Regions from separate parts of the Mus musculus genome. Here all the other regions are reported to be linked to region 1. The links are microRNA targets in miRTarBase. Many come from high-throughput screens and were not tested one by one. Region 1 holds a microRNA gene; each other region holds the end of a gene's coding sequence.
Evidence for each region. Region 1 holds the annotated microRNA mmu-miR-298-5p (GGCAGAGGAGGGCUGUUCUUCCC, at 3,059-3,081, shown strand). A microRNA usually pairs through its seed, bases 2 to 8, with sites in the 3' UTR of a target mRNA and lowers its output. Matches are read on the target gene's strand: a 7mer-m8 pairs with bases 2 to 8, a 7mer-A1 pairs with bases 2 to 7 and ends in A, and an 8mer does both.

Region 1 (4,377 bases):
CTGTTCTTGTCCCAGGAACACGGGCCGTCAAAGCTGAGTTGTTGGGCACGTGATCTTTGACTTTGCTATGACATTGGTCTAGGAGGCTGAGACTTGTTCATGAACATAAGCTGGGTCTGCAAAAGAGAAGACCAGGGGATAAACAATGAACTTCCATTGGGGCTTGGGATAGGCTTGATAATCCAGCACAGTTGCCTGGTTCCCTCCTTGTGGCCCCTTAGTAACCTGTGGCTTGTACCACAGAGTTAGGCAATTGCCATGGCAACAAAACATCTAAGCTGTCTGTCCCTGGGCCTCCCTTCACCCCAACTGAGTAGGGCCTAGCCTGGCATAGAGAGGATAGAAGTCACCAAGAAGGTCCTGGTATCTGCAGCTTGCCTCTCTCAGCATATGAGCAGACAGGGAAGGAGGCTCCTGTGTTCATCTCTACCCTATGTCTCCTGGGTTCCCTCCATTTCCTTCTCCCCGGCTCAGTCTTGCTTCTTGGGAAAAGGTATTTTTCTTGGAAACAGTGAGACTTGGTTGATCCCTATCTCCCAAGGCCTAAGTCCTGTGGGCTTCAGGATGGCACTGTGTCACTATGTCGCTGTGTGAGTTGCTTATTGCTCCAAGCTCAGCCTTAGTAATTCAGAAGGCCTCATTCTTATTGACCTGTTTGTAGAGTCTGCAGCGCAGAGGCCTAGGCCTTGGGGGACTACGTGTTCATTTAATTCACTTCAACTTCATGGCAACTAGAGAGAAGCCTAGCTGCAGCCGAGCTCCCAACTTGCCGAGGGCCACCTCGCTGAGGAGTAGGAGTCAAGCCCGCTTCTGACTGAGGGGGTAGCTGGTGTCCAGAGCCTATTTTCCAACCCTGGCGGGCACTGAAAAGCCTTTTGAAGGGGGTCCAAGATGATACTTAGGCTGAGCTGAGTTTAGGCCATCAGAGACCTCGGTGCAGCAGAGCTGTGAGGGAGATAGCCGCTGGGGCTGAGGGCATAGGTTTGGGATGAGCTGGCTGGGAGCTATAGGAAGGCACATAGGAGCACACTTAACAAGCACTGAGGGCCACATGTGAGGTGTCTACTTGGAGGAGTGGCTCGTGGCTCCTAGCTGCCCTTGCAGGGGCTCTGGTACACTCAGGAGTCAAGTGGTTCTTCATGTGAGCAGAAGCTGAGGGGTGACTGGGGCTGATGGAGGTCTGAGCTACCCTCGAATGAGGATTTGGGGCAATGTTCACCGAAACGGTCAAGTCAGAGAGGCTTTCTCTGGGGCCTCTGACAGTGTAAGCAAGAGGCACCCTCCCTCGTACTTGTGGGATCTTCAGCTCTTTTGCAACTCAGCCTGTAGCTAGGGATGGGTCTTTGTAGTCTGCTGGACAGATAAGACAGACATCCACCCCAAGTGAAGATACAGAGCATCCTCTCTCCTTGCAGCTGAGAGCTGGACTGAGTGCTACACAGTTTTGAAGGAACAACTCTAGAGTGTCCTTGAAGATGATGGGGCCCGCTTACAGTAGCTTCTCTCGCAGCACCTCTAAAGTCACCAGCTCACCTTCTTGGCAGCCTGGAGAGCTACGTGTACCTCCTGGCATTTCTCTGTTTTCTGAGTGATGGGAAAGGGGCTTATATGGCCAACACTTGGAGCCACATCTCTAGCCGCCAAGTCAGATGTATTGGGAACAACTGCACAGAGGGGAGAGGACTCCGCAAAGGGCTCACACTAAAACTGTGCTCTTCCTCTGGGGGGAGGACTTCAGAGGGAGTACAAAGTACCTCAGCCCCTCACAGCTTGGTGGTGATGCACCCCTTTTCTGAGAGCCACTTAGCGCAGGATTCCTGTGACCCTTCTGTGCTGAGCAGCTCTTGGGCCTGACACCATCCCCAGCTGTCCCAGCCTTGTTACCTATGGGTGCCTGGGTTGGTTGTCCATGTTGATGGTTGGGATCAAGGGTGGGTGGGTGTCCATCAGATGTGTCTTTCTGTGATGGGCCTCACTGTTCTTCTGTTTGCTTCTGCCTCCCACTGTTGCTCTACTGCACCCGTGGGAGCATGATGGCTCTGCTCCGTCTCTCTTCTCTGCTCAACCAAAGAGTTTCAGAAAAGAGAAAGGAAGCCTTTTCTGAAGTCTCTAGACTTGATTTCTTGTCCTCAGTGCTTGCCCTGGCTGAGGGCCCCGTACAAGTGAACTCTGGGAAGATGATTTGTCTAGGGTCATGGACAAAGGCCTTAGAAGATGACTTCCAAGCCTATTTCGTTAACGACCTGCATTCATTAGAAAAGGACCTGTGTTTTCAAAAACATGGCTCTTGTGTCTCACATGGTCAGACAGTAGCCAAAAGATTGCCCATAAATATGTCTTCTGATGGCTGTTTGGCTACTAGGACAGAACCATTAAGTTGAAGAGCTTAAAACTATGACCTTAGCGGCTGTGTGTCTGTTTTGTTTATGTCTTAACATTCCCTACCCCATCTCTCTGTTCTAAGCACCTCTGAGCTCTCAGCACAGTCCTGCCTTTGAAGCCTTGTGTGATGGGGAGCCTCAAGGATTGGAGCCTGCACTTCTTCAGCTGCTTCTGCTGTGAGCACAACATTCAGTCCTGAGGAAAAGGTTTGCTAAGTAGGAGAACTTGGGGGTTCTTCCTCCTCAGGTATGGATTGATTTTTCACCTCACAGAGACCCAGTCAGCACCCATGGGGTGGGGCATTTGAGTTGGGAGGTGGGTCTTGCTGGAGCAGAGGCCCAGCAAGGTGGATCCTTCTTGGAGCGTGGGAATCTACAGGGCTGCTTAGAAATGGTTTGATTGGTTCATAATGGCACCTTGATAGAACAAGAGGGTTTACTGTACAGGATACTTGCCACACCATGGCCCTCTTTGTGCTACTACATGCAAGTGAGTGAGTCCATTGGATGGAGTGGTCATAGACAGATCTGGCCATGAGATGAGTGTCTCTGGACCCCCACTAACTAGCTCCTGCCCAATTGACTGCTTCCTGAGCACCACAGCTATTTGAGGTAGGCTGGGACGTTCCTGCCGTGCTTGAAAGAGACACCAAGAGGCATAAGAGGCCCAGGCCTTTGGCAGAGGAGGGCTGTTCTTCCCTTGAGTTTTATGACTGGGAGGAACTAGCCTTCTCTCAGCTTAGGAGTGGGCCAACAGCTTCCTTCCGATCTCCAGGAGAATGTTGCTGGTTGACACACGGAACTCATCCTCTAAGTTCCCCCACCCATCAAGGTAGCTGGTGGAGTCAGAGATAGATGTTTCTAAAAGCCATGGAGAACTTTGAGGTCTTGTCATAATGCCCTGAGCCTACTACTAAGACTGCCACCTTCCCATTGTCGATGCAGTGGCTTCTGAGCGCACGTAGCTGGGAAGCGGGTGAGCGGGCCAAGATCCAGGTTAGTGGGCATTCGAGACTACAGAAAGAGACCCTCCTAGGGTCTTGGGGTTGGGGAGACAGAGGCAGGGCCCCTAAGAGGGGATCTCCATCTGTGTGCACACAGAACAGCCTATGTGGAAGGTGACAAGAGGGCCTTTCTGGAGGGCCCCCCCTCAATCCTGTTGTGCTCGCTTCAGAGGGTTGGGTGGAGGCTCTCCTGAAGGTGTCCGCAGAGCGTCGCATGGTAAGTAGTCCCTTGGGGCTCTAGAGAATGCTTGCTGTCTTTGGCTTGATCCCAGTGGCAGCCTCTGCTAGACTAGTCCTGCCCCCCAGTTAGTGCTCATGGGGTACCAGAGACCTGACCCCACCCTGTCTGCTCTAGGCTAATAGTGCCCTGCTTCCCTGGGCTTGTACCACCTTGTGTAGTATCTCCCTACTCTTCTGTATCCTTGGCTGGGAAACTTGCTTCCTAGCACCAGACCTTCCTTGATGTGGTTGTTTGCTTTCCTTTCACTTATCTTTTCTTTCCTACAGGAGTGGGATGGACATCAGTCAGATCCACACCGGTCTTCATGGCAGCCCCCCTTTTTTATTTATTTATTTATTTATTTTTGAGACAAGATCTCACTGAATTATCCATACTGGCCTTAAAACTTGGAATCCTTATGCCTTAGACTCCAGCATTTCTGGCATAAACTGCTGTGTCCAGTCTAGAAGGCATTTTGGTGAACCACCCCTGTAAGACTGAGCTGGGGGGGGAGGGTGTCAGGCACCCAGTTTTGAGTTACTCACACCCAGCCTCTCCCAAGTGTGACACAGTATCTGCCTAATAAATTCACGAAGAAAGATTGTTTGGTGTTGTTCTCATCTGTGCTCTGCGCTCTACCCAGCTCTGCCTGGTGTGCCCATCACTCATCCCACTTCACCAGCTTGCTTCTAGCACACACCTGGCTTGATCTTGCTTCTTAGTGTCTCTTCCCATTAATTAGATTTAACTCAACTGCAAGAGGGCTGGAGCA
Region 2 (4,377 bases), not on the chromosome of region 1:
AGTTTTGTTATAACTGAAATTTGTTAGCAATTTTGTGAGGTGGTAACATGTTGGCTCTCTCTCCATTCCTCTGGTTATTAAAAGGAATGACTGCAGTAAGCTATGCGGCAGTCCAGACACGAAGCTACGTGTTTCCCCCATCATGCAGGATCAGTATGGCCCATATTACAGAACAGCAGGAGCAAAGCACTGTATTCGTTGCAGGTGGAATTTTCATTGTGTCATGGAAGAAATGTAAAGATGACCTGGCAGTTTCCCCAGAAGCTGACACAAATACTTGATCATGTTAGGCTCCCTAATGAAAAGCCACACACACACGGCAGGGAAAATCAGTAGCCGCCTCTTGAGAAACAGAGATGTGTAAAGTTTCTGACTTACCTGATTTTTAAAATGAAGAGCAGGCTACCAGGAACCTTTCAGATGTGAAATTAAGCACTTTCTGTTTGGCTTCGCATTGTGACCTATTAATTAGGTGAAAGGTTCTGGGCAGACGCAGGATGATGGAAAGAAGCAAAAGCAGGGCGGTGGGATGGGAACTGGGGCCAGGAGCCAATGGAGAGGAGAGGAGCCAGCAGGGGCTGCTGAGTGGACAGGCTCCACGGGCTGTGAGGACCCAGCGGCTGAGCAGCAAGCCTGGCCTTTTCTGGGGCTTTTACAATGCCGCCCGCGCCTTTCCACAGACCTCAGCTGCTCACTGCTGGAGCACACCAGTGCAGACTAGGAGTTCTGATCGGGCAGTGGGCCGGGTACGCCCACGGCTTCCTTCCCTTACTTGCTGTGATGAAAGGGTCACTTCCTCTGGGCGCAGCTTGTTCATCTAACATGCATTTAATGCCATGAAGTTATTGGAAACCTGGAAGACTTCTGGCTTGCTGTAACTTTTGAATGCGCAGGGACATAAGCTTCCTGTGACAGGTTAGGATGATGTTACACTACCTGGTTTGTAAATACCGGTCAACAGTAGACTTGGCTTCCAAAGGCCCCTCTTTTAGCATTTGGATGAGGAAACAGAATTTTTCATAGAACGCATTCCATTATCCTCATTATCAAGATGTCTCTCTCACACCAGTGTCTGAACTCTAAGAACTTTTTTGTGTGTTTTGGGGGGTGGGGGAGTCTCACTTGTAATACTGCTAAAGTATAGATGAACGTCAACAGCCGTGGAGCTTGGATGGAAAACCTGGGGGTGCCGGAGCACTGTCTCCGAGCAGCAGTTCCTTGACTAACGACCCTGTCTGCTGTGCTGCAGGTGGAATAATACCCCCATGGATGAAGCACTACACTTTGGACACCATGATGTTTTTAAAATCCTTCAGGAATACCAAGTTCAGTACACACCTCAAGGGGATTCTGATGATGGAAAGGGAAACCAGACTGTCCACAAGAATCTCGACGGGTTGCTATAATGGTCTGCACCCCAAGACTTCCATTACTTACCTAGTCATTGTGGAACATGACTATGGAGAGCATTGTATATTTCTATCTGGTAGTAATGTGTATTTACAACATCTGTCACTGCAGTGTTACCGGAGCTTCCTTCATTGTGCGCACACGACAAATCTGAGTTCTTTGGGAAAAAAATAGAAATGAAGCAGCCTCCCTTCATAATGTGAGCAATAGTTACCTCGTGCATTGTACAATGTGGTGTAAAAGAGTAGTTACCAATGCCAGCTGAACTGTGTGGTCTTCATGGTTTGCGTTCTGTACATTTTCAAGCCCTGGTGATGATACGCTCATATGCACTTAGGAGTGAGCTTTGTTGTACAGTCTGTCCACGGGGTCGATGCTGTTATTAGGTGAAAATAGTGTGATCTTTAAGACTTTAAATACAGATTTAGTTTTGAGTGTTTGAGAGACCACTACACTTGTATGGTTGAGTGTTTAAAATGTCTATCACCCTCACTTCAGAGTGTGACTCTTTAAATATTAAAATAGATACTAACTGTTCATAGAACAGGCCGATTCTGATTAGATTTTATCAGGGAATCTGTTAAGATATGTTTGGTGACCAAAACGTATGTGTGAATATAGTTCTAGCACTTTTAAATTTTTCCTTTCCATACAACGCTTGGGCCAGCCTCTCTGTGCTGCGTGGCTGTCGGTCCCCCTCAGCTGGGAAAGAGAGCACTGGCTCACTGTGCAGTTTTCATGTTTCCTCAGCAAGCCATCAAGCCTCACATCTCTACCATCAGAGATAGAGCTTGGCCATTTATCTAAGGAAGATGAGCCAAAATTATGACATCTAAAATAATCGTCAGTCTTAAGAGTAAAGACAGCGAAACTGCACACTTATAAGTTCTTTTCAGCTTCTACAATAAAGAAAAGTTCAGAAATGCTTTCAGTTACCAAAGTTATAACGATATATTTAGGAAAAGCTACAAATAACACTTACTTTGAATCCTGCTGTCAAATGTCTGCATCAAGATAGCACCCCTTTGTGGGAGGCCCTGAGTATCTTCTCTTCCTCTACTGCCTAACTGTTGGTGGGCTGTATCATTCAATAAGATCACTTCATTTTCAACTTAGACCCACCGTTTCTTTTTTGTTGTTTTGTTTTGTTTGGTTTGGTTTGGTTGGGTTGGGTTGTTGTTTTTGGTTTTTTCGAGACAGGGTTTCTCTGTGTAGCCCTGGCTGTCCTGGAACTCACTTTGTAGACCAGGCTGGCCTTGAACTCAGAAATCCGCCTGCCTCTGCCTCCCGAGTGCTGGGATTAAAGGTGCAAACTACCACGCCTGGCAGACCCACCATTTCTTTGCTTTGGAAAGGTAATTTATGATTAACTTAGATAATAGGTAAAAGCGACCTTACAAAAAACATAATTATCTAGGAGTCCCACATACTGGACCTACCCTATTATACCTCCAAGAGATAAAGGGTATGTTAGTGAGGACTTTTGCACACAAGTGCATGCACACTTGGCATACACACACACACACACACACACACACACACACACACACACACACGGACTTCTTGGAAACTGCTTTATGAAGAAACTGCTTTATGAAATAAGCAAAATTCTCAAGTGCACAGATACTAGCAGTTATGACAGTAATACAGCGTCTTCTGTGACCCTCACTACCTGCACTGCTTGCATCCCTGCTTTATGCCTGGTGGCACATTATTCACCCGGTAACCTCCAGCTGCTTTGATCCTGTTTCAGTCAAAGTCAGCTTCAGCCACCCCCTCCATTCCCTAGCCAGCTCCACCCTTGATGAAACTGTGGCTAATGTTCCTTCACTAGGACAGGCACCATGAGTGTGTTTCTAAGTTCCAGAGTCTGTGGGGAGGATGGTGGGTGGGCAGCCAGCCCTGTTGCTATGTTGCTTCTTCCACACCCCCTCAAGACAGGTGCATAGGTGGCACTGGGAACATCCTACGCAGGGACAACCTCCAAAATTAATGGGTGAACATGGTTTTTTTGGAATCAACTGAGATAATGCTATTTCAATAGCGGCTGGCTTTTTGTGATTCAGTAACTTAAATATTGCCAGTGACTGAGGATCCCCTCCAGTCATGGTTCTGTATATTCTTTGAGACAGGTGTTTTCATCTTCTCTCAGCTCAGTGCTGTTTTGTACAGTCTCTGTGGCTTGGTTGAGTATGCTCTTTCCTGTGCCAGGTCTTGCTCTGGCTGTTCGCTACTGGCTGATAATAACAAGGACCCTGTGTGTGTGTGAATGAGCCGCTAACTGCTACCATCTGTAAACTCCAAAGATCTGTTTGTTTTGGCTTTACAATCTTAGCTAATTTTTCTGTATCCTGGAACCATTACATGATCATGTTGCTTTGAAGATCTTTTTATGCCACTGTTTCTGCTGTCTTGGTTCTGACACCCCTGTCTGGTGATATGCTATACCCCAGTGCTGCCTACACGTGCTTTAGCTGTAGAGCTGGGTATACTGTTGATCCAGCTGTCCGTCAGGGACTTGATAACCTGATGTTTGATGTAGATCCCTGCTGGGGAGTCCACAACTATGAATGTATTTACTTCCAACATTTCCCAAAATGAAAACTATAAATTGCAAGTATTCTGGAATTGGGAAATACTTATTTTAAATGAGATCAGGTAGTGTTGCTTTTTACAGCATAATAAATATGTGTATTGAAAACAAACTATGAGAAAAAGTGTTTTCTTTTTTAATAACTAAGGTTTTCTCTGGGCTGTTGGGTTGGAAGTCTGTAGCTGGTTTACATCCAGCCTGCTGTGAGGCAGGCACATAGAATTGGGTGGGAAGTTTGGACCACAAGACCAAGATGAGAACTGAAGACCTAGCTGTGAAGGTTAGAAGTGGACAGGCTAGCTCAGTCCTCTAGAAGCTCAGACCATGCTCTTACACCATGCCATGGAAAGTATCCTTGAATGAAGACATGTTTC
Region 3 (4,377 bases), not on the chromosome of region 1:
TGTCTCAAAAACAAAACAAAACAAAACAAAAAAAAACCAACAACAAAAAAAAAATCATGAGGTCCTGAATTGGAATTCCCAGAAGCCACGTGAAAGCCAGACACATAGCACAAGTGTCTGTGATCTCAGAACGCCTATGAAGTGATAGTCTGTTGCGTGACACTGATATATGGAGGTACAAAACATATCCTCATTCCACATAGGGAGCCAATGTCAGACCAAAGCAATGATACCACCAAAGCCTGATAAACAGCTTAATTGAGGTTGCAGGATCCTGTATGGGTTACTTAGAAGAGCGTGATAGCTGAAAGGCAGCTGCATTACCAAGTCTACCCTAGCATGAAGGACATCTCATGAAGGCTAGAGCACTGGAGCATTCTATATGACTTGCAGGCAGTTCAATAGACATGCAGTCCTTACTGCTTATGTAGCCTTGAGGAGGGAGGGGCCTTATGAACCTGCCAAGTTTCAGGATTGCCTAAGACTTAGTGAGTTGTTTACTTCCTCGGTCTTAATAAGCTCCCCTCTCAGAATGAACTGCTTAAAGTCAGAGGATCAGTATACAACACAGGCTATATAGGAGGATCGCTGGAAGCTCGTGGCCAGCCAAGCACATGCAGCAGAAAAATCAATAGAGATCTTGAAGTGTTCTTGCTATCACCATGTGTTGGGAGAAGGTAGAGCACAGATTAGCTTGGTGTGCAGTGATATTTGTTAGAAGCCAATGATGGGCTCTCAGGCTGGTCATTCCCGAGTTGGGAATCATCTGAATATTATCACCCCCATTAAGCTCTAGGCCTCATTTCCTCACCTGTAATGTGGGAATGAGTAGCCATATTGAATGAGACAGTTCATTGCGTGGCTGAGAGTGAGGGAAGCTTTGGTCTTCAAGGGCAATGACAGCCTTTTACTTTCCACACAGGGAACCCAGTTTGGCCAGTGGGATACTGCCGGCTTTGAAAATGAAGAACAGAAGCTAAAATTCCTGAAGCTTATGGGTGGCTTTAAGCATCTGTCCCCGTCATTCAGCCGCCCTCCCAGCATGACTATCAGGTCCAACATGGCCCTGGACAAAAAGTCTTCAGAAATGCTCCAGCAGAGTCTGCAGCAGGACTATGACCGGGCCATGAGCTGGAAGTACAGCCACGGGGCTGGCCTGGGCTTTAACTCTGAGGCCCGAAAGGTCTTCTACATTGACCGGAATGCCTCCAAGTCTATCAAGTTGCAAGATTAAATATTATTGTCTTGTTCTTCAAACTGCATTTCTTGATCAGTTGCATCCGTCAAGTTGGCTTGAAATAGTCACCTGCAGTTATTGAGGACCAATAGGAATTGCTAAAGCCTCCTATTTTCTATGTTAAACATTCCACCTCCGGGTGACAGTATTTTAATAGTAGCTAGCAGTTGTTGGCACGTGGAGGGTCCTGACTATTTTCCTTGCATTGTTACACTAATTATGGAATGGGTGCTGTTCTCATCTCTATCAAGTTCAGGGATAAATAAAGTAATTAAACGGCCTAGGGTCACCTTCCGTTAAGTGCCATCAAGAGTACATCACCCAGAGTCACTCAATTATCAGTGCAGAAAGCAAGTGATATGCCATGACTTGCAAGTTTGTTTTCCTTCTCCCTTATCAGGAGGCAGGTGTGGTGCAGCAGGCAGACGTGGCCAGTACCTCTGAGCTGGCTTCTTTCCAGCCGTCCTCCTTCCATCTGACTGCTGTGCTTGGATTTGATGCTGCTGTATTGGCTGGATCTCAAGGCATTTTGGACAGTAGGTAATCCTGCGTATGGACCCATGACAGATTCTCAGCAGCATGTTTTGTGTTTGTGTTCACTAGACAGAAGACCTTGGACACTTGTGTGATGAAATCAAACATATAAGGGGTGGAGAAAAAGATACTTTGCTGCAGGCACCATACCCTCCCACCCCTCCCTCCCAAATCACAGCAATCTTCATGGAGCTCCTGATACAGAGACCCATGTGACATGATTTTCTCTCCCACCAGCTATTGGCAGTCTGGTATCAAGGTTCAGAGAAGGTTACTTTCCTGTTTTGGCCTGATTTCTCACAGGCAGAAACACTGGGTGGGGATGGAGGTGTTTGATGCTGCACTCAGCCAGGACATTCATTCATCCTTCCAGCACCGTCATCAGTGTTGATGCCTTCATGCTGCTAAGAAGATGAGAGACAATTCCCAGCATTCCAGAGATGGGAGAAAACCCTCTCTACAACTAAAGAAACTTCCGGCAGTCCCTCAGGGAACCTGTGATGGCGTCATTCAGCTTTGTAGTTTTTCCTGTATCAGCCCCCTTGGTAAGGAGATGCCCCTCAGGCCAGCCAGGGAGAGGGTGAGGTGTGCAGTACTGCCAAATGGGCAGCAGAGGTGTTGCTGTGCCCCCTACCTTGTTCCTGTCCTGTGGGCATAGGCCATATGTATGGCAAAGACCTGTTTACACCACTTTCCTGGAATGAACTTGGCTTCTCATCAATTCAGCCTCAAGATTCAGAAAAGACCACTTCCAGTCACGTCAATGGCAGAATTCTGCATTTGAGTCAACTTCCAGACAAATCTCCCTCGGCCTTGGTGAACTCTGGGAACCATCTGCATAACTCCAATAGCTTGTGTTCCCCACAAGTCACATTCCAGCCTAAGTGTCTCAGCTCATCAAAAACTTGCACATGGCAATCTTACGGGTGGTAGATGGTTTTCTATCTTATGTCACATATGCCTTGGAAGCTGTCATCAAAGTGTGAGAGCCAGATCTTTTTCTTAGCTGTTACACATACCTCAGTGCTGAAAGACTTGATTTTGTAGCTTGGTACCTCAGCGTTGACTTAGGTGCTCCACTAGCCCACCTTTCTCTAAGAATTGAAGTCTGTAGTCTATCTCCAAGGCACTGGAGGTAGGGTCAGTGATCTAACACAACCTTGAACTTGACTGATTCTCTCAGGCATTTCTTACCAGCTTGGTGGCACTTAAGCAATATCCTTGTCCAACAGTCACCAAAATCTCATGATTCTTAACACTTGTGCTTGAGCTGATTTCTGTGCTATATCTGCTTGGGCCCATGAGGCCCTGCCCTGAGGCTACATGTACAACCAGACTAACCTGTGAAAAGGCTCTCTCAGACACAGGTGTCCCTGCTCTTAGTACTACTTGGGTTATGGTAGGCAGGACACACACATACCCAGCAGAAGGGAAATTAAAGTCACTAATCACATGCTGCTATTATTATTGTTGTTGTTGTTTTTTTGAGACAGGGTTTCTTTGTGTAGCCCTGAAGACCATACCATGCTAGCCTTAAAAGTCACAGCGATTCACCTGTCTGCCTCCTGGAGTGCTAGGATTAAAGGTATACATCACTGCTGCCTGGCTTCCAGCCACCACTGGCTATCAGATAGATTTGAAATCAGATCCTTGATAACCTGAGCAGGTTCTTTTCTTCACAGTTCCCTAACTGATACGTAGCAGAAGATTTAGTGTGGAAGACACTTGGGAAGGAAAAGGCCACAAGCCAAGATCACAGGCAACGTACAGAAGCCATGCAGCATCTCTTTCCACCAGAGTACCCACAAAAGAACTTAGACATGGGGATACCTTGACCTAGCCCAGAGAAACCAGTGAGTTCTGACCAACAGCAGTCAAGACAGTAAAACCACAGGAAGTCACTGTGCTTGTAATTTCTTAAAGGAATAAGAACCAGGAATCACTCACAGATGGACATGAGGCATCCTGTTTTTCATTTCCTAAAAGTCTCTTTACATGTCCTTCTCAGGGGAAGTAGATGCTGTTTGTGGAGGCGGGCTTCAAAGACTGGACTGTCAGTAACACTTCTGCCCAGGTCAGCAGACTGTTGCAGGAGCCCCGTGGTATGTGTACCCAGTGTGAGGATAAGCCGAGGTTAACACAAGCAGTGGGAATTCCCCAGGCCAGTGTAAGCTGCTTATGCTGTTATCCTGGGCAGCCTTGAGGCAGGAGAGTAACGTACAAAGGATTATTTATGAATTTGCCAGTTATTTTTGAAAGAATTAGCATCACAGTGAAAGTGACATAAAATAATTTTAGTAGAAACAGTTTGGTGAAATAAAGGCCATTTGGGAGTATTTGAACAGCACCATAGTGCATTCTGGGTTCTGGCATGTTCACAGCAGGAGGAAAGGCATTTTTTAGCATCTGGTTTTTGTTTTTGAGACTGGGGCTCATATATCCCAGACCAGCTTCAAACATGTAACTGGGGACCTTGATCAGATCTTGATCCTCCTGTCTCTACCTCCTAACTACTGCCGTTCTAGGTCTGCACCTTGGCACTCTGTCTTATGTGGGGTCTTGTGTCTGCCAGGCAAGCATTCCACTGACTGAGCCATATCCTTCGC
Region 4 (4,377 bases), not on the chromosome of region 1:
TGTCTGGGATATGTTCTCCCTCTAATAGGGCCCCTTTCTCTGTGCTGTAGATGGAATCCGTGAAACAGGGTGTGGACCAGAGGCTGGGGGAGGGGCAGGAGAAGCTGCACCAGATGTGGCTCAGCTGGAACCAGAAGACCCCACAGGATGCTGAAAAGGACCCAGCTAAGCCAGAGGTACCTGCTGGGGCCCCCGGGATCCCCATATGAGTGTCCATGCCCTGTTCAGCATAACTCATGCTTCCTGTCCCCAGGGCAACCACAGAAACCATGACAGAATTCTATTTTGTTTTGGCTTTGGTTTTTAATTTTTGCATTTTTATTAGTATTACTGGGGTAAGGTGGTGGTTTTGGCTTGGCTTTTTTTTTTTTTTTTTTTTTTTGGTTTTTCGAGACAGGGTTTCTCTGTATATCCCTGGCTGTCCTAGAACTCACTTTGTAGACCAGGCTGGCCTCGAACTCAGAAATCCGCCTGCCTCTGCCTCGCGAGTTGGCTTGGCTTTAAGATAACAGCTGTGAGCCCGGTACCATATCTGGCCTCATAGTGCCCATATTGTGGTTTGATTTGGGGTTTATAATTTTTTGATTTTGGTGGGGGGTTTGTTTTTAACTTTTGCTGTTTGGCTTTTGATTTCCCTGCCCAGCCCCAGTGGCTTTCATCTCTGATAAGTCTAGATTCCAGGCATCTTCCAGTGTCTCTCTGTAAACCTTAACTATTCTGAAAAGGTTATGGGAGTCTGTCTTCTAGTTTCAAACTCAGGGAGCCAAATTCCTGTCCTCCAAGCAGGGCTCTGCACCCTACTGGCCCTCAATACCCTGACCCCACCCCAATCTCCCCCTTCCAGCAGGTGGAGGCCCGGGCACTCAGCATGTTCAGGGACATCACCCAGCAGCTGCAGAGCATGTGTGTGGCCCTGGGGGCCAGCATCCAGGGCTTGCCCAGCCACGTCAGGGAGCAGGCACAGCAGGCCCGCAGCCAGGTGAACGACCTTCAGGCCACCTTCTCCGGCATTCACTCCTTCCAGGACCTCTCAGCCGGCGTTCTTGCCCAAACTCGGGAGCGCATAGCCAGAGCCCGGGAGGCCCTAGACAACACTGTGGAGTACGTGGCCCAGAACACTCCAGCCATGTGGCTGGTGGGCCCCTTCGCTCCTGGAATCACAGAGAAAACCCCTGAAGGGAAGTAGGGAGAAGGTTCAGGGCCAACATCTATCTGGCTTGACTGCTTTTCCCAACAGTCCAATTGCACAACAGGTCCTCCCCTACTGAGTCTGAATGAGACATGTGTTTAACCTATTCCCATCAGTCTTTTAAAGCAATTTTTTTTCTAGAATGTTCCAGGGGTAAAAAGATCCAGAACATTCTAGAAAAAAAAAATGTTTTTTTCCTAAAAAAAAAAAAAAAAAAAAAATGAGGAATGAGGGTAATGAATAGTGATAGCACTAGTCTGTCATCCTGTGTCAGCACTGTGGTATAGAGGCAAGAGGGTCACAGGTTCAAAGCCCGGCTGCCACATCACAAATTCAGTGATAGTCTAAGCTACATTAGACCTTGTCTTGAAGTAAAAAAAGGCATAATGATTTTTCACTCCGGGTTTCTTTTCTACATCATGGCCCACAATAGCAAGAGCTTTTCTTGTTTGTTTTTTTTTTTTTTTTCCTGAGACAGGGTTTCTCTGTATAGCCCCTGGCTGTCCTGGAACTCACTTTGTAGACCAGGCTGGCCTTGAACTCAGAAATCCACCTGCCTCTGCCTCCTGAGTGCTGGGATTAAAGGCCGGCTAGCAAGAGCTTTTCTAACAGACCCTGATACCTGGCCCAAGAACCCAGCAACTGTGACAGGATAGACAGCTGGGATGTTGCAATTGTTTCAGATGAGAAAGTGAGGGCCGAGTACACTGTTCCTCAAATCCTGGGGCTCAGTATTGCCTTAATAAATTTTATATGCATCAGAGGCCAAGTGGATGGTGTATATGTGTGTTGCCTTCCTAGGAGCTGAGCTGCCCTGACATCCCTAGAGACCTTCTTCCTTCTGTCTCTACTCTATGCACAGTGCGAGTCTTCCCACTTTGAATGTTGGACGTGATCACTTGTGACCCTGTGGGGACAGCAGGAAGGGCCTGCTGCCTATTTTCCCTCCGTCTCTGTGATGTATGGAGAAGGGTCAGTGTGACAAGCTGAGCCTGCCAAATATGCCCACAGTCTGTTCCCCTTGATCTCAGGGAAGGTGGGGACAAGAAGATCTGGAGTTCAGGGTCATCCTTGACTACCTAGTAAGTTTGAAACTAACCTGGGCTACTTTGAGACTATGTTTCAAAACAGCAAAACTCGGGGCAGGAGAGCTGCCTGCTGTGGTAAAGTGCTTGGAGTTGTTTGGTTTGCGGTAGAAACTGAGAAAACTTACTTCAGAGACAGAAGCTTAAAAAATAAAAGCTTTATTTTCTGCACTGGCAGGGAGGTGGCCAGTTGGGGATCTGAACCCTGATGAGAGACTGCACGACGCTTTTTATAGGATGGGAACACAAAGCGAAGGGGACCTGGGTACTGACCAATCATATCTTGACACAAAGGGTTAAACAAGGACTTAACACTGGTGACTAGGTCTTATCTGGGTCACCTGGTTTCAGGGTCCTTGAGTCAGCTTTTACAGCCTAGTCCCCTCCTGGACTCTGACCTGGAATCTAGTGTGGTGAAGGACCAAAGGAGTGGGTGAGCCGCAGTAGTCAGTTAAATCAAGGCAGGGACACACTAACGACTTGTGTGCTTTAGTTTGGATAACTGGAGAACAGCATCTTCCTTCCTTACAGCCTTCACTGGCTAACAGACAAACATGAAAGATCTAAGAAGCAGGATAGGAGTTGTATTCTGGGGCCTGGGAACATGAACTCAGTCTTGACCCTGCCAGCAAGATAGAACTTGTTTCTGAGATGGCTGGACTCAGGAAACTGTCTCCTAAAGATGTGACCAAGAGCAAACACTTGATGTCAACCTCCAACTTACACAAATACGTGTGCATATGTAAGCATGAAAATGTGGAGAAGTCCGTCTGCTACCTGCTTTGGGGAGATGAGTGTCCAGAGTCTGGGAGAGATTGAGTTCAGTGGCATGAGGCAGATACTCCTGCCTAGACTCCCCAGCAAGAGGGTGGGGTGGTTCTCCTTTGTGCACCTCATCTTCCAGTCATAGTCCTCTGGGAACTGCTGCTTTTCTGTTTTCACAATTTAGTTTTATCAGTTTTAAAACATGCCATAGGGCTGGAGAGATGGCTCAGTGGCTAAGAGCACTGGCTACTCTTCCAGAGGTCCCCGAGTTCAACCCCTAGCAACCACATCCATCAGATGTGGCTCACAACCGACTGTAATGAGATCTGATGCCCTCTTCTGGTGTATCTGAAGAGAGCCAGAGTGTACTCATACGTAAAATAAATAAATAAAGCTTTAAAGTATGCCTGTAATCTCACCATCTAGCTGAGCTAGGAGGATAGCCCCAAGTCCCAGTATGCATACACAGACCGTTTCTCAAAAGTAAATACCCAGAAATCTCCGACAAATCTTTGTGTTGTGTCTCTGTGACGGCTCAGCAAGTAATGGTACTTGCGGTTCTTTGACCTACATTCATACATGCCTGCATGCACATACATACACACAACACCAAGTAAAATCAAGTAAAGAATTAAAAATATTTACAACCTAACAGTTGTATAAAACCTTGTGGCCTCCAGCACTTCTGTTTACTTATCTTGTATGAACTTATTTTTGAGATGGAGGTCTCACTCTGTGGGTCAGGCTTCCTTGGAACTCTGGGCAATCTCTCTGCTTTAGTTTTCTGTGTGATGCTGGACTGACAAGTGTGAGTCATCAGGTTCCCAGTGCACTTAGCCACATGGTGCTTTGCGAATCCCCAGAGTATGTCACTAGCTGAGCTCTTTGGCTAACAGCTTAAAGTTCTCTGTGGGCGGAGGGTTCCTTCTTCCTTTCCCCAGCTCTGGCCTCACAAAGTACAAGTCCTGCCTAGTTCCACGTGGCGCCAGGACACTGGGCGGGAGGGCAGGGCTTGGCTCAGCTAGATAAGATTACACGCTGACTTCATCCCCCCCCTACCCCCCCCCCCAGACCCGGAAGGGAGGAAGGGGCGGAACCGAACGCTCCCTCCTCCCTTCTCTCTCCTCCTCCTCCAGCAGCCACCAGGGACCGGGAGATCTACCAGCTCAAGACCCCTACAGCCAGGTAGGATGAAGGCAGAGGGAACAGGACGGCGGGCCGGCGGGCATAGGGTCGGGAATAGATGCTGGGCCGGCCACCTGCAGGCTGCCAGGTTCCTCAAGTTCTTTCCCATGGATACTCAGATCCGCAATCCAACTCCTAACTCCCAAACCAGCC
Region 5 (4,377 bases), not on the chromosome of region 1:
TGTGGTGATTTGAATATTCTTGACCCATTGAAGTGGCACTATTACGAGGTGTGACCTTGTTGGATTAGGTGTGGCCTTATTGGATGGGCTTTGAGAGTCCCTTCTATGCTCAAGTTCCACCTGGTGCAGAAGAAGCCCTCCTGCTGACTGCCTGTGAAAGTCAATCTTAAAACCTTAAAAGGGTTAATGGTATGTGGTGGTTTGAATAAGATGGCCCCCTTAGGCTCATGATTGAATGCTTTGTCATCAGGGAATGGCATTGAGAAGGATTCAGAGGTATGGCCATGTTGGAGGAAGTAGGGCTGGGCTTTAAGGTTTCAAAAGCCTAAGCCAGACCCAGTGGCTTTCTGTCTGCTGCCTGTGGTCATAGATGTAGAACTCTCAGCTACCTCTCCAACACCATGTCTGCCTGCATGCCACCATGCTGAAAATGAACTAAACTAAAACTGTAAGCCAGACCCGATTAAATGCTTTCTCTTAGAAGAGTTGCTGTGGTCATGGTATCTCTACACAACAATAGAACACTAAGAGATGGTGGAATCAGATTTCCCGACGTTTAGAATTGTTGTTTGCTCACAGTCAACTATTGGATGGATCACAGGGCCCCCAATGGAGGAGCTAGAGAAAGTACCCAAGGAGCTAAAGGGATCTGCAACCCTATAGGTAGAACAACATTATGAACTAACCAGTACCCCGGAGCTCTTGTCTCTAGCTGCATACGTATCAAAAGATGGCCTAGTCGGCCATCACTGGAAAGAGAGGCCCACTGGACAGGCAAACTTTATATGCCCCAGTACAGGGGAACGCCAGGGCCAAAAAATGGGAATGGGTGGGTAGGGGAGGTGGGGGTGTGGGAGGCTTTTGGAATAGCATTGGAAATGTAATTGAGGAAAATATGTAATAAAAAAAATTAAAAAAAAAAGAATTGTTGTTTGTCAAGAACTGTTGGTTGCTACATAGACTTCTTGTGTAGACCATGCCTGCCAGGAACTCAAGGAGATCCTCCAGTCTTTGCCCTGCAAGTACTGGATTAGAGCATGCCTTTCAAGGACCACATAATTCTTGATTGATCCCAGTGCTAAGATTCAGGAAACCTCAGTGGTCCAGGAAATAGTAATGGTGTTCATAGATTACTACTATCACAAGGTGTAACTGAGTTAAGCTCAGGCAAGCCTGGTGTTGATCAAACAATTGATCAAGAATATATGGAAAAAACAGATTATAAAAATAGTAGAAATATTAAATGTGGCAGAGATAAAATATATTATATAGGTAAATGGTCACTGACTCTGGGTTGGTCTTGGGGCTTTAATCTGAGCATTAGAAAGGATGAGGCAAGTGGGTCTCCATGAGTTTGAGGTCATCTCAGTTCTAGGCTAGCCAGGACTACTATAGTGAGATCTGACTCAAAATCAAACAAACAAAATACAAAAGTGGAAGTAGTCAGGAATGAAGAGCCAGCACATCCCTGCCTCATGTTAAAGTGTCCCTGTCCTGAATCAGGCTGGGTCCCTGGGTCAGGCTGACAAATATAAAAGAGAACATCCAAGGTTATTAAAAACACTGCGCTCTAGAGAACAGCTAGAGTGCAGAGCATTTCCAAAAGAGGTAACTTGTTCATCATGATATAAAAATGGCAGCAATGGGAACCAGAGGTCAGAAAGTTGTCCATGTACAGAAGAACCCTGTGCCTGGAAATCTATGGAAACTATGGAAATCTATAGAAAATTATGAAAACTCCAGGACTGCCTACTCCAGCAGGGCTTCCCTCCTCATTTATGGGTGTTGTAAGTGCCTGGTCTAATCCTGCTAGCTTGCTTGCTTCCCCAATCAGGATGTTCCACATGCTCAGTTTGAAGATGCTTTTTTTTTGTTTTTTGTTTTTGTTTTTTTGAGATAGGGTTTCTCTGTATAGCCCCTGGCTGTTCTGGAACTCACTCTGTAGACCAGGCTGGCCTTGAACTCAGAAATCCGTCTGCCTCTGCCTCCCAAGTGCTGGGATTAAAGGCGTGCGCCACCACTACTCGGCTTGAAGATGCTTTACACTCTACTACCTGCTCCTTGCTCTTGTACTTAATACATGCTCAATCCATTCAGCCACTCAAAATCAAATGTATAGCTGTGATAGATTGGTTCATGTACAGAAATACTTTTATGTGTGGTATATGTGCATAAGCTTGTGTGTGGTGGACAAATCTTTATTGCTTATTTTTTGATACAAGATCTTTAGAGCCTTTCCAACTGAACCTAGATCTCATGACTTGGTAGATTGTCTTCCCCGTGCGTCCTCCTCCTGTGAGCTCCTCCCCATGAGTCCTCCTCCTATGAGCTCCATGTGTCCTCCTCCAGTACTCCTACCACAGTTGCCCAGCTTTATATGTGTGTTGGGAACTCATCTTATGTCCTCATGATTGTACAGCAAACTCTAAGGAACCACTTTCCTACCTTGCAAGAGGTCTCATGGTTGAGAGGAAATCTTGTTCTCTTGCACCCAACCCCATCAACAACCACACTGGTCTCCAACTCTGGACGGCTCACCCCTCCCACCTCAGACACCCATGCAACTGCAGGTGCACGTCACTGCACTCAGCGCCTCAAGACACTTCAGTTACACAGACAGAATTACTCACTGAGAGCACACTGAAAATAAGTTTGGGGTCAATTTAAAATTTCACTCATGCATATGGAGAACAAAAAAGAAAACACACATATACACACAAACTATATACAAATTCTTTTATTTCTCAAAAAGTTTTAAAACATACTACAATTTAAAATTTAAACAACTGGATTGCATAGTGCCTGATAATCCACTTCAACATAATAAAAGATAAACTGATCACTTTCTAAGTTTATACCGTTGTTTTGCTTGACAGGGTCTTTTCTTAGCCTAAACTGGTCTCAAACTCAATTCTACAGTTGAAAGTGGCATTAAACTGATGGGCCCTCCACCTCACAAGGCCTGGGACTTATGCCACCATGTCTGCCCAAATCAATTTATTTTCTAAGCGTAACAGTATAGAAACTGAGGGAGATGCAAGCAATTGGCAATGGTGAAAAGTGCATATTTAAAGAGGTTTGGCCCAAAGGTTTTTTGTTTTTTTAAAGTAAATTAAATTACAATTGAAAATACTCCATACCTATGGGCCTTTACAGTAAATAGAAATTTTTTAAAAATTTCCTGTGCTAGGGAGTATGGGAAGCCAATAAACGCCATTACAAGATGGTACTGGTTTCAATAAGCTGACGCCCATGAATATGGGTAAACAACCAATGTGCGCATGTGCAGTAGAGTTTTTTTTTTTTTTGCAGAGTCACTGCCTGGCCCAAGGCATGTAAATGAGGTACTGAAAGCATAACCAATCAGGTGTAGACACACCTATCCTAGGCCTATATAAGCAGCACTGGTTTTTTGGGCTCGGGGTCTTTCGCTTTCGCTATCAAGCTCTCCCAATAAACGTGTGCAAAAGAATCCTGTTGTGGCGTCATTCTTGCTGGCGAGTCGGGCGTCTACAAGGGAGCAAAACCAAAACCTTGGACATACTAGGTATGTGTTCTACCATTGATCTACGGCAGAGAGTACTTTAAAACAAAGTAGATTTGATCTGATCAAACTGACAGGTTTTCGTTTTATTTAACTTTGAATAATACTGCAGCCACTGTGTTTTCTGTGTATCAAAGGTATCAACTTGAGAAGAAATTATTTGCTTCATTTGTGCCAAACAAGGGTAGTTTCTCTTCTGTTAAAAGGATATGAACTTCTTGAAATTCAGTGTTCATTTGTCACATGATTTCAAAATAATGGACAAACAGCTCCAGCTCACTCTCGGCTTGCAGACTCTTCCTAGAACTCCATGTCCTCCGGGCAGTAGTCATAGATCCACTTAAAGACGGAGTCTTCCGATTGCTCTATGGTTTCAAAAAGTTTTTTGAAGTCGTGAGGATACATTCTAGCAGCTGTGTCTCCAGGGTTTTTTCTTATCTGCCTCAGGATATTAATAGGATCAACCGTACTCAGTGAACTGCAGAGGAAAACCAAAGAGACACACTTTTACAACTGTCAGCTACAGCTGAGAAAGCTGCCTCCTATGTCCAAGTAAAATGGCTAACACATATAACTGAATTCAGTTGACAGTTTATATATGACATGTGTATTCTCCACTCTGTACAGAGACGACTCTGAACCGACCCTCCTACCTTAATCTCCCAGTACTGGGATACAGGGATGAATGCCTCACTCAGTCTGGATAGGAAATGTGTACATAAGTGTGTTATGGCTATAACCTCAGCACCCAGGAGACCGGGACAGGTACTCTTAAAAATTCACAGCTAGCCTGCAATGAAAATCACCAATTGAAATTCTAACAAGGTATAATT
Region 6 (4,377 bases), not on the chromosome of region 1:
TGGCACCTGCTTCACTAGTGATGTCTACCTGATAGTCCTGCTTGTGCTGTATGCAGCCGTCTTCCTGGTGGGTGTGCCAGGCAACACCCTGGTGGCGTGGGTGACCTGGAAAGAGTCCCGCCACAGGCTTGGGGCCTCTTGGTTCCTGCACCTGACCATGGCCGACTTGCTTTGTTGTGTGTCTCTGCCCTTCCTGGCTGTGCCCATCGCCCAAAAGGGCCACTGGCCATACGGGGCGGCAGGCTGCTGGCTGTTGTCCTCCATCACCATTCTGTCTATGTATGCCAGTGTGCTGCTCCTGACCGGCCTCAGCGGAGACCTCTTCCTACTGGCTTTCAGGCCCTCCTGGAAGGGTGCAGATCATCGAACATTTGGGGTGCGTGTGGTCCAGGCCTCCTCCTGGATGCTGGGCCTCTTGCTGACTGTGCCTTCTGCTGTCTACCGTAGGCTGCTTCAGGAGCACTATCCTCCCCGACTTGTGTGTGGCATAGACTATGGGGGATCGGTCAGCGCCGAGGTTGCCATCACCACTGTTCGATTCCTCTTTGGCTTCCTGGGGCCATTGGTGTTCATGGCCGGTTGTCACGGCATCCTCCAACGGCAGATGGCCCGCCGCCATTGGCCCCTGGGCACAGCTGTCGTGGTGGGGTTTTTCATTTGCTGGACCCCTTATCACGTCCTGCGGGTAATCATTGCAGCGGCTCCTCCGCACTCCTTGCTCCTCGCCCGGGTCCTGGAGGCGGAGCCTCTGTTTAATGGCCTGGCCCTGGCTCACAGTGCTCTCAATCCCATAATGTTTTTGTATTTCGGAAGAAAACAACTCTGCAAGTCACTCCAGGCTGCATGCCACTGGGCCCTGAGGGATCCACAGGATGAGGAAAGTGCGGTGACCAAGGTATCCATATCCACCAGCCACGAAATGGTGTCTGAGATGCCGGTGTAGGCAAGAGGGCTTTGGATTTCCTAGGCCATCGCACAACTGTGCAGCTTCAAGCATAGCTGGATGCAGGAGCTCGGAGATGGCTTTTGTTCTTCATTCAATATTCATTGTGCACTTGCTCGTTCAAAACCCTGATATAAAGGTCCCGGGCTGACAGTGGCTGGAGCCAATTCCTTCCCCAGGAGTTAGCAGTTTACACAAGAAGACGTATAGGAAACACTTGACGGGATATGGACTATGTCAAGGTTGAGATGTTCCATAGAACCCAAAGAGGGTGCTGGGGAGACTGCTCGAGTGCCTGCTGTACAAACCAGGACCTGAGTTTGAGCCCCACCACCTTCACAGAGCTGTGTATGGTGATTCACCTCTAACCCCAGCACTGAGGGAATAGGTGGATCCAAGGGGTTCTCTGGACAAGTGGTCTAGCCCAATCAACAAACCCCTGTCTCAAGAAATAGAGTGGAGCCAGGCACGGTGGTGATAACTTTAATTACAGCATTTGGGAGGTAGAGCCAGGCTAGCCTGATCTACATAGTGAGATCAGGCTAGCCTGATCTACGTAGTGAGGTCCAGATGGAGATTTGGGAGGTCGAGCCAGGCTAGCCTGATCTACATAGTGAGATCCAGGTGGAGAGTAGCAGATGAAGACATCCAGTCTTAACCTTAGGGACACACACACACACACACACACACACACACACACACACACACTACACAGGGTTGGACAGCCTAGGTCAGGTAGGCTAGCACCCTGAACAACGGGTAATGACTGAGCCAAAACCTGACTAATGGACCTGAGCATCCATGCTTAAATCTGGGGAACTATTCCAAGCAGACAGAGCAAACACAAAGGCCTTGCTCTGGGGTATCTCTTCCAAGAAGCCTTCCCTGACTTGCATCCCTCCCAGAAACAAGGGTTCTTCCTATCTTGCAATCTCTTCAACACAAATGCCCAGATAAATCCTAAGTCCCCTAAGAGTGAGAGAGGAACTCACTCTATCTTTTATATTTTGGTATTACATTTAATTATTTATTGCCTGTGTCGGAAAGCATGGAGGGAGTAGGGGTGGGGTGGGACGATGGTTAGAGGACAACTCTTTCCATCATATGGGTCCTTGGGATCGAACTCAGGGTGTCAGGCTTGGTTGTAAGCACCTTTACTGGCGGAGCCATCTCACCAGCCCCAAACTCCTCCGTCTTGTCTCTTTCTCCCCTCCTCTGTCTTAGAAAGTACTGCATTTCCTCTGTCCACACTCTGATTGTTTTCAACTGCTCAGTGGGCCTGTTTGTGTTGCTGGTGTCTTTTTTGTTATTTTCGAGGATCTTTAAACTATTTTATTTTATTTTTTTTTAAAAATCATACAGGTATATGCTGTACATTGAGTAGATCCCCACCTTACTCCAGGTTTGCAGAACTTTAACGCCTATGGCATACTGTGTCCAGCCAACTCTCCCCCACAGATCCCTAGGGCCTGGCTTTGGTCTTGGTTTTCTTTTTTGATTTTTTTTTTTTTTTTTTTTTTTGAGATAGGGTCTCATAGAGCCCAGGATGGTTTTGAACTCACTATGAAGGGGGTGACCTTCATCATCCCCTGAATGCTGGGATTATAGTCTGTATCACCACACGTTAGTTTATGGGGTGCTGGTGATCAACCTCAGGGCTTCATGCATGCTAGGCACATGCTCTATCAATTGAGCGACATCTGGATTTCCTCACAGGGGGACTCTAGGAAGCTGTCCTGTTACTGAGCTCCACCCCAAACCCTCCTTGAACAATGTATACATCTGTCTGTCTGAAAAGTTCAAAAAAGTTTTGGTTAATTTACTGGACCAGAGAGCCTCTTCAGAAGGTCTTTTAAATTTTTTCTTTCTTTCTTTTTTTTTTTTTTTTGGTTTTTTGAGACAGGGTTTCTCTGTGTAGCCCTGGCTGTCCTGGAACTCACTTTGTAGACCAGGCTGGCCTCGAACTCAGAAATCCACCTGCCTCTGCCTCCCGAGCGTTGGGATTAAAGGCGTGCGCCACCATTGCCTGGCAAAAATTTCTTTTTGAAAGTACACTTTGGTGTTGTATGAAAGGAGAGGTTAGCACTCCCCCTTGACAAGGATGGAAGAGGCCTTGGGCCTAACAACACACATACGGTTAAGGCATTGCCTATTACCTATTTCGTGGCATCTAACAAAATAAAAGAAAAAACAAAAACAACAAAAAAAAAAAGAAGAAAAGGAAAGTACACTTTGAGAGTTTCTATTTAATTCTTTAGTCTTAAAACAATGAAGGAGAAATTTCATGAGATCTTCCAAATGTATTTTCTGTGTAACTATACATAAAATCTCTTGATGTTAAAAAATACTGTGTTTTGTTGTTTATTCTAAGCTTTCTCTGGTTCAGACGGCTGTGCAATAATTTTTCCAAACTGAAACAAGTTACACTGCTTAAGAATCAGGATGTAAACAACTCACAAGTCTCAGGATATTCCTGAAACTGACCACATACACCAGGTCCCTTCTTCCCCAAGTGCTGTAGTTTTCTTTATGCTGCTGTAATAAAGCACTCGGACCAAATCAGTTTAAAGGAGCAAGGAGTTTATTTAGCTTACACTGCTACATCATAATTCCTAATTGAGGGGAGTCAGGACAGGAACTTGAATACAGAAACCATGGAGAAGCACTGTCTGCATGCTAGCTCTTTGCTCATGCTCAGGTCGCTTCCTTACAGACCCCAGGGTCACCTGCCTAAGTATGGTGACACCTACAGTGGGTTCATCCACTCACATCAGTCAAGACATTCTCTCACAGACATAGCCACAGGCCAACCTGATGAAGGCAAGTCTTCAGTGAGGTTCCCTTTACACAGGCAACCCCAGGTTGTGTCAAGCTGGCAGTAAAACTTAACTAAGACACCAAGCTCATTCAAACAGTGTCTTGGAGTTTTATTGCTGTGAAGGAACACCATGACCACAGCAACTCCTAGAAAGGAAAACATTTTATTGGACTTTAGTGACACCCTTACTTTGGACTGTCAATCAGTTCCCTATATGGCAGGAGTAAATGTTTGTTCATGTCTCTCCAGAAATAGCCATACAAGAGAGACTTATTGGGCTGGAGAGATGGCTCAGTGGTTAAGAGCACTAACTGCTCTTCCAGAGGTCCTGAGTTCAATTCCCAGCAACCATGTGGTGGCTCACAACCATCTATAATGGGATCCAATGCACTCTTCTGGTGTGACTGAAGAGAGTGACCGTGCTCTTAGCCATTGAACCATCTTTCCAGACATCCCTCAAAAATTTTTATTTCTATTTATTTATCAGTGTGTGCATGTGATGTCACATACACGCTGTGGTGCACAAAGGACAACTTTCAGGAGTTGGCTTTCTTCTTCCATTCTGTGGGCATCAGGAATTAAATTCAGGTCTTCAGGTGTAGTGCAAGGGTTTTAC
Region 7 (4,377 bases), not on the chromosome of region 1:
ACTTAGCCCACCACACGAGAGACAGGGGAAAGGAGCGGGAGCAACTGGGCAGCATGCATGTCCTCTAGCCAGCCAGGGAGCTGACCAATCTTTGCCTTTAGTGTCCTATCCTGTGGCTTTTAGCTTTCTGTTCCTTTCATTATTTGTTGAAATGCCTTGCCCCGAGACACCATCCACAGCACACATAGCAAAGCCACCACACGCTTCATTAGCCAGACCAGAAGGAGCCTAAATTGAAATCTCTCAGACACCCCACACCCATCTTTATCATTAGCCTCGAACAGCAAACCTCCCCAGACGCTGGCTGATGGGATGGCCACAACTTTGTAATTCCTGTCCACTGTAAACTGTTTTTACTTCTTTATACATACTTTTCAGACTGCCTTTCTTTTGTAATTTCTGGAAGGTTTGTAAATGAATGGCAAAGCTTTCCCTGTGCGTCTTCAGAAACTATATTGTACATTGTAATATAATTGTATGTGGTAGATTGATTAAAAGGTCGTTCCTCGGTGTGTGAAGTACTGTGCGGGTGTGTGCATGTGTACAGCTAGGGTGACATATTTTCTAGAAATAAACTTTGTTATTTTGTACAACATTATGCCTTTTTGTGTCTTTATTCCTAACACTCTTATCATGGCAGGGAAATGGAATTTCTTTCTGTTACACATCCCTAAAGAACTCTGTGGGCTTGGGATTTCTGGGACCAATTAAAATATGTTCTTGAGCCATGTTCTGGGAGTCACTTCTATGACAATCCTGGTGGCAATCTTCATGGGAAAAGAGACAGCAGTAATCAGTATGGGGTCTCTGTGTTACCGGAGACACGCACACACAGCAGAGACCACGAGAATCTATTGAATGTGTGGATTCATACCAAACCTCTTAACAGCACCCCTGGTATCTTTTCCAGGATATTACTAAAGAACCGCACAGACTCAATACAGCTAATGCAGCCTGACTTCCCAGATAGATCTATGGAGGTTTCCCTCTGCAAGCTCAGTTCTACTGGCCATATTTTTCCTGGGATGTGAGGAAATGCAAGGGCAAGGCAGAGAAAGGATGCTCTCTTCAGTGTGTGCTTTCTCTTCAGAAAGCACAAGGGACCAGGGGATAGACACCCCCACAAAGCCATATTCCCACTGAGCCACTTTATCCAGCCAGGCAACAGCTCCTAAGAACCTGTTCAGCTATGAACTCACTCAGATTGATGAAGCTGCCATCCCCCTCCCCCCATCAGGTCACTTCCCAAGAGAGCTCCTCAGATGGCAGCCAAGCCCTGAGTACACCAGCCTTTGGGGGATAGTCTTAGGTTCAACCCTTAACAGTAAAAACTGTTCAAAGAGCTAAGACCAGACCATTTATGGCAAGATGAAAATAACAGTTCAAATCCACCACCTCATGGGCCGACACACACTGATGCAGTTAAAGCCACAGCCACGATGTTATTCATGTAGAACTTACCTATCACATGTAGACATAACTCTCACAAGGGGGAAAGAATCAGTCACGATCACGAGGATAAACGTCTCTCTGTCTTGGTGACTTTTCTCGATGCTCTAAAGGAAGGGTTTATTCTGGCCACAGACTGGGGGTGGCACCCATGGGAGGCAGCTTGGCCACACTGCACTGCACCCAATGGGCAGTAGAGACACAGTGTTGCTCCTCACCTGCCTTAGCTCTCCTGACACCATCACAGACAGGTCCAGGGGTTCCATGGAGGGTCTGAGTCCCTTTGGGTCCACATGGAGGAACCACCATTCTGCTCACTCGAGTCTTGGTGATAACATTGACAATGCCCTCCGCCCAACAAACAAACTACAGCCATAAATCAAAGGTGATAAGGAACAAGATTAACACACATACCCGCTGCCAACCTCCTGCTTGAAAGTAAATATGAATTTCTCACAATCAAGGCTCTTCCTTGCCTAGAAGAAAGGGGCTTCAGCCACACCCTCACTGGGCTGGAGCTCCGAAGAGAAGGGTGGCTTTGGGTCACTGATCTCTTTCCTTTCCAGGGTGGCCATGGTGAGTCATTCTCCCCTTTGTGGTATTCACTGTAACGTGTCTGTTCTTTGGCTTTTGGGGAGATGGGTGACTGAGTTCAGCTTGTCGGGGCTACCAAGGTCTAGTGTCTGTCCCCGACAACTATGGTGACAGAAGGGTGGGATCTTAGGCTTCCACACAGAAACCACTCTGGGATCTGAGTGGTTCCACCATGGATCTGAGGCTGGGTGGCTCTGCTACCCTGGACGTTTGGGTCCCAGGGAAACCACCAGGTTGGTTCTCCTACCCAACTGAAGAAGGGGTATTCGCTCCAGTTAAGGCTGACTACCTTGTACCTCATGTGACTAGTCCAGCTATAGCAAGGCAAGACAGGCTAGACTTTATACACATGGCCAGTTAGCACCTACCCATATCTGAGGACAAACGAGCTGTGCCTGTCCCTCCATACATTCCTAGTATAGCCCAGAGCTCAGGGCTTGTGTCATGGCCAGTGGCCAAGGGATGCCCAGCAGCTGACACTGGGTAGAGACATCAGAGAGAGAAAGAAGAAACCCCTTCTAGAACAACCTGAGCAAGCACAGTTACAGGCATGAAGTTTCTGGAAATGGTGGTCAGAGGTATGCTGTAGCTCCAAGGAGATTCCAGCCTCCTTGCTGATCCTTGGAGAATAAAGCTGTGGCTGACCCTTTAGGCACCCAAGTCTGAGTTTGAAACCCTAAAACTGTACTTCCTTTCTCAGGGCCTGAGAGGCTATGATGCCTGTTGCCCTCTGGTGTCAGACATGGGATGGGTTAAAGGCTGCATGCCATGAGCCCCCAGAGCTGGCTTTTAGAACAAGGAAACAAACGTGCTTTTCATTTACAAAACACATTGATAAGGCCAGATCCCACAGAGACGCCCACAAGAGTAAAGTGAGACAGAAACTTTATTGAGCTGTGCCAGGGGCACACACACACATCGCCATTGTGTAAAACTCATCACACTCTAGCCACTCTAAGCTGCTCTCTTTGTCAAAGAGCCAGGCAAATAGATGTGGCCGTACCTCACCTGGCACCTGAACTGGCCCCCCAGCCGCAGCCTTGCAGCCTCTTAGGAACAGAGGCAGCTCTTACTCCCAAAGTCTCCTGCAGAAACTGGCACCCATAACTCATACTGCTCCATTTTTCTTTCTTTTTTTTTCTTTCTTTTTTTTTTCTTTCTTTTTCTTTTTTTCTGTTTGTTAAGACAAAGTCTCACTATGTAGCCTAGGCTGACCGGGAACTTGGGGTTCCCCTGGCTTCACCTCCTGAGTCCTGAGATCACAGGCGTGTGCCACCACACCCAACACATTACTTTTGGGAGTGGAATCCTATCCCAGAGTGGTCGCCTGTAGTTTAAAAGCAAAGAAAACACAGGCTTTCAAAAACTAAAAACTATTAAATAAAATTATGGTCAGTAATTTCACTTGGTAAGAAAATTGCGAAACAAAACAACAACACTCACTCCACCACCGGCCTTGTCAGTCTTAAAAAACACTTTCATGGAGGGAGAAAAGTAACTCTTTTCATTCCTTATGACCTAACTCTTAAAAGAATTACAGAAAGGTACCTCTGGCCTTTTTATCTTTAAGAACCTGAGGTGTCAGAGTCCCATATAGCACCCATCTAGGATGCTCTGGGCATTCTTGCCTTGTGTCCTTTCCTCTTTTAAATTCAAACATGCAGAGAGAGAGAGAGAGAGAGAGAGAGAGAGAGAGAGAGAGAGAGAGAGCAGCGTACAATAGGAGGTGCTCCCAGGAGCACCTCCAAGAACCTGCCAACACGGCTGCTTTAGGAAAGTCTATCTGTGGTACCACGGCCCTTGCCACCACTCTGCCAAGCAAACTGTCACAACACACCATGAGAAACAAAGCAAACATAAGCCTTAGTTAACTCTATAGCCGCTACACACCAACAACTAAAAACAAAACAAAACAAAACAGCGGCCCCCAACCCCTACCCCCAACATCCCGCTAGAACCTCATCCTATGAAAAATAGAACTGAAGGATTGGCAGAGCTCTGAAGGAAACCAGCATGCCGGCCCTCGCTGCTGGTTAGAGGTAGTAGAGGCGGTTGGACAGGGAGAGGTTTGGCTCTCTGTGGATGCTCTGGCCCACGAGGAAGGCCAGCTTGTGTGCATACTGGCAAGGTGCAGGGACTCGGATGACTCCCTGTGGGGAAAGAGGGCCAGTCACTGGGCTGAGTTGGGCGGGACTCCCAGGGTCCCTACCACAGCATGCTAACCAGGGTAGGTGGTCCATAGCAGGACACTCACAGGCCAATTATAGTACACGTGGCAGAGCTTGTATGTCAGCCGCTGGATGTGGTCGGGCTTCAGGCCACTGCTGTCATAGA

Region 2: miRTarBase lists Gls as a target of mmu-miR-298-5p. Seed matches in the 3' UTR shown: 7mer-m8 at 2,688-2,694.
Region 3: the mRNA of Knop1 is a reported target of mmu-miR-298-5p. The part of its 3' UTR that is shown has no 7-base or 8-base seed match.
Region 4: the mRNA of Plin3 is a reported target of mmu-miR-298-5p. Seed matches in the 3' UTR shown: 7mer-m8 at 1,746-1,752.
Region 5: the mRNA of Tfb2m is a reported target of mmu-miR-298-5p. Seed matches in the 3' UTR shown: 7mer-A1 at 3,308-3,314.
Region 6: miRTarBase lists C5ar2 as a target of mmu-miR-298-5p. Seed matches in the 3' UTR shown: 7mer-m8 at 2,924-2,930.
Region 7: miRTarBase lists Piwil1 as a target of mmu-miR-298-5p. Seed matches in the 3' UTR shown: 7mer-A1 at 3,703-3,709.

What each region holds. Positions count from the first base shown.
Region 1 is chr2:174,266,257-174,270,633 of GRCm38, reverse strand. It overlaps Mir298 (microRNA 298), which reads left to right and starts at 3,049; the gene lies at 3,049-3,130. Mir296 (microRNA 296) reads left to right here and starts at 3,509; the gene lies at 3,509-3,587.
Region 2 is chr1:52,163,187-52,167,563 of GRCm38, reverse strand. It overlaps Gls (glutaminase), which reads left to right. Exons shown (of 18, transcript NM_001081081.2): 18 at 1,250-4,115. The coding sequence ends at 1,406. Among named protein-coding and RNA genes, the nearest start is that of Stat1, 46 kb to the right of the region's middle.
Region 3 is chr7:118,842,640-118,847,016 of GRCm38, reverse strand. It overlaps Knop1 (lysine rich nucleolar protein 1), which reads left to right. Exons shown (of 5, transcript NM_023197.3): 5 at 923-4,377. The coding sequence ends at 1,234. Among named protein-coding and RNA genes, the nearest start is that of Iqck, 11 kb to the left of the region's middle.
Region 4 is chr17:56,276,541-56,280,917 of GRCm38, reverse strand. It overlaps Plin3 (perilipin 3), which reads left to right. Exons shown (of 8, transcript NM_025836.3): 7 at 51-176; 8 at 845-1,956. The coding sequence ends at 1,186. Ticam1 (toll-like receptor adaptor molecule 1) reads left to right here and starts at 4,151. Exons shown (of 2, transcript NM_174989.5): 1 at 4,151-4,224.
Region 5 is chr1:179,525,333-179,529,709 of GRCm38, forward strand. It overlaps Tfb2m (transcription factor B2, mitochondrial), which reads right to left. Exons shown (of 8, transcript NM_008249.5): 8 at 2,722-4,022. The coding sequence ends at 3,845. Among named protein-coding and RNA genes, the nearest start is that of Smyd3, 9.5 kb to the left of the region's middle.
Region 6 is chr7:16,233,490-16,237,866 of GRCm38, reverse strand. C5ar2 (complement component 5a receptor 2) reads left to right here. Exons shown (of 2, transcript NM_176912.5): 2 at 1-3,280. The coding sequence ends at 943. It overlaps LOC115486844 (a small nuclear RNA gene), which reads left to right and starts at 3,003; the gene lies at 3,003-3,129.
Region 7 is chr5:128,754,009-128,758,385 of GRCm38, reverse strand. Piwil1 (piwi-like RNA-mediated gene silencing 1) reads right to left here. Exons shown (of 22, transcript NM_021311.3): 21 at 4,298-4,377; 22 at 2,912-4,193. The coding sequence ends at 4,077. Rimbp2 (RIMS binding protein 2) reads left to right here. Exons shown (of 21, transcript NM_001378900.1): 21 at 1-595. Among named protein-coding and RNA genes, the nearest start is that of Gm42875, 14 kb to the left of the region's middle.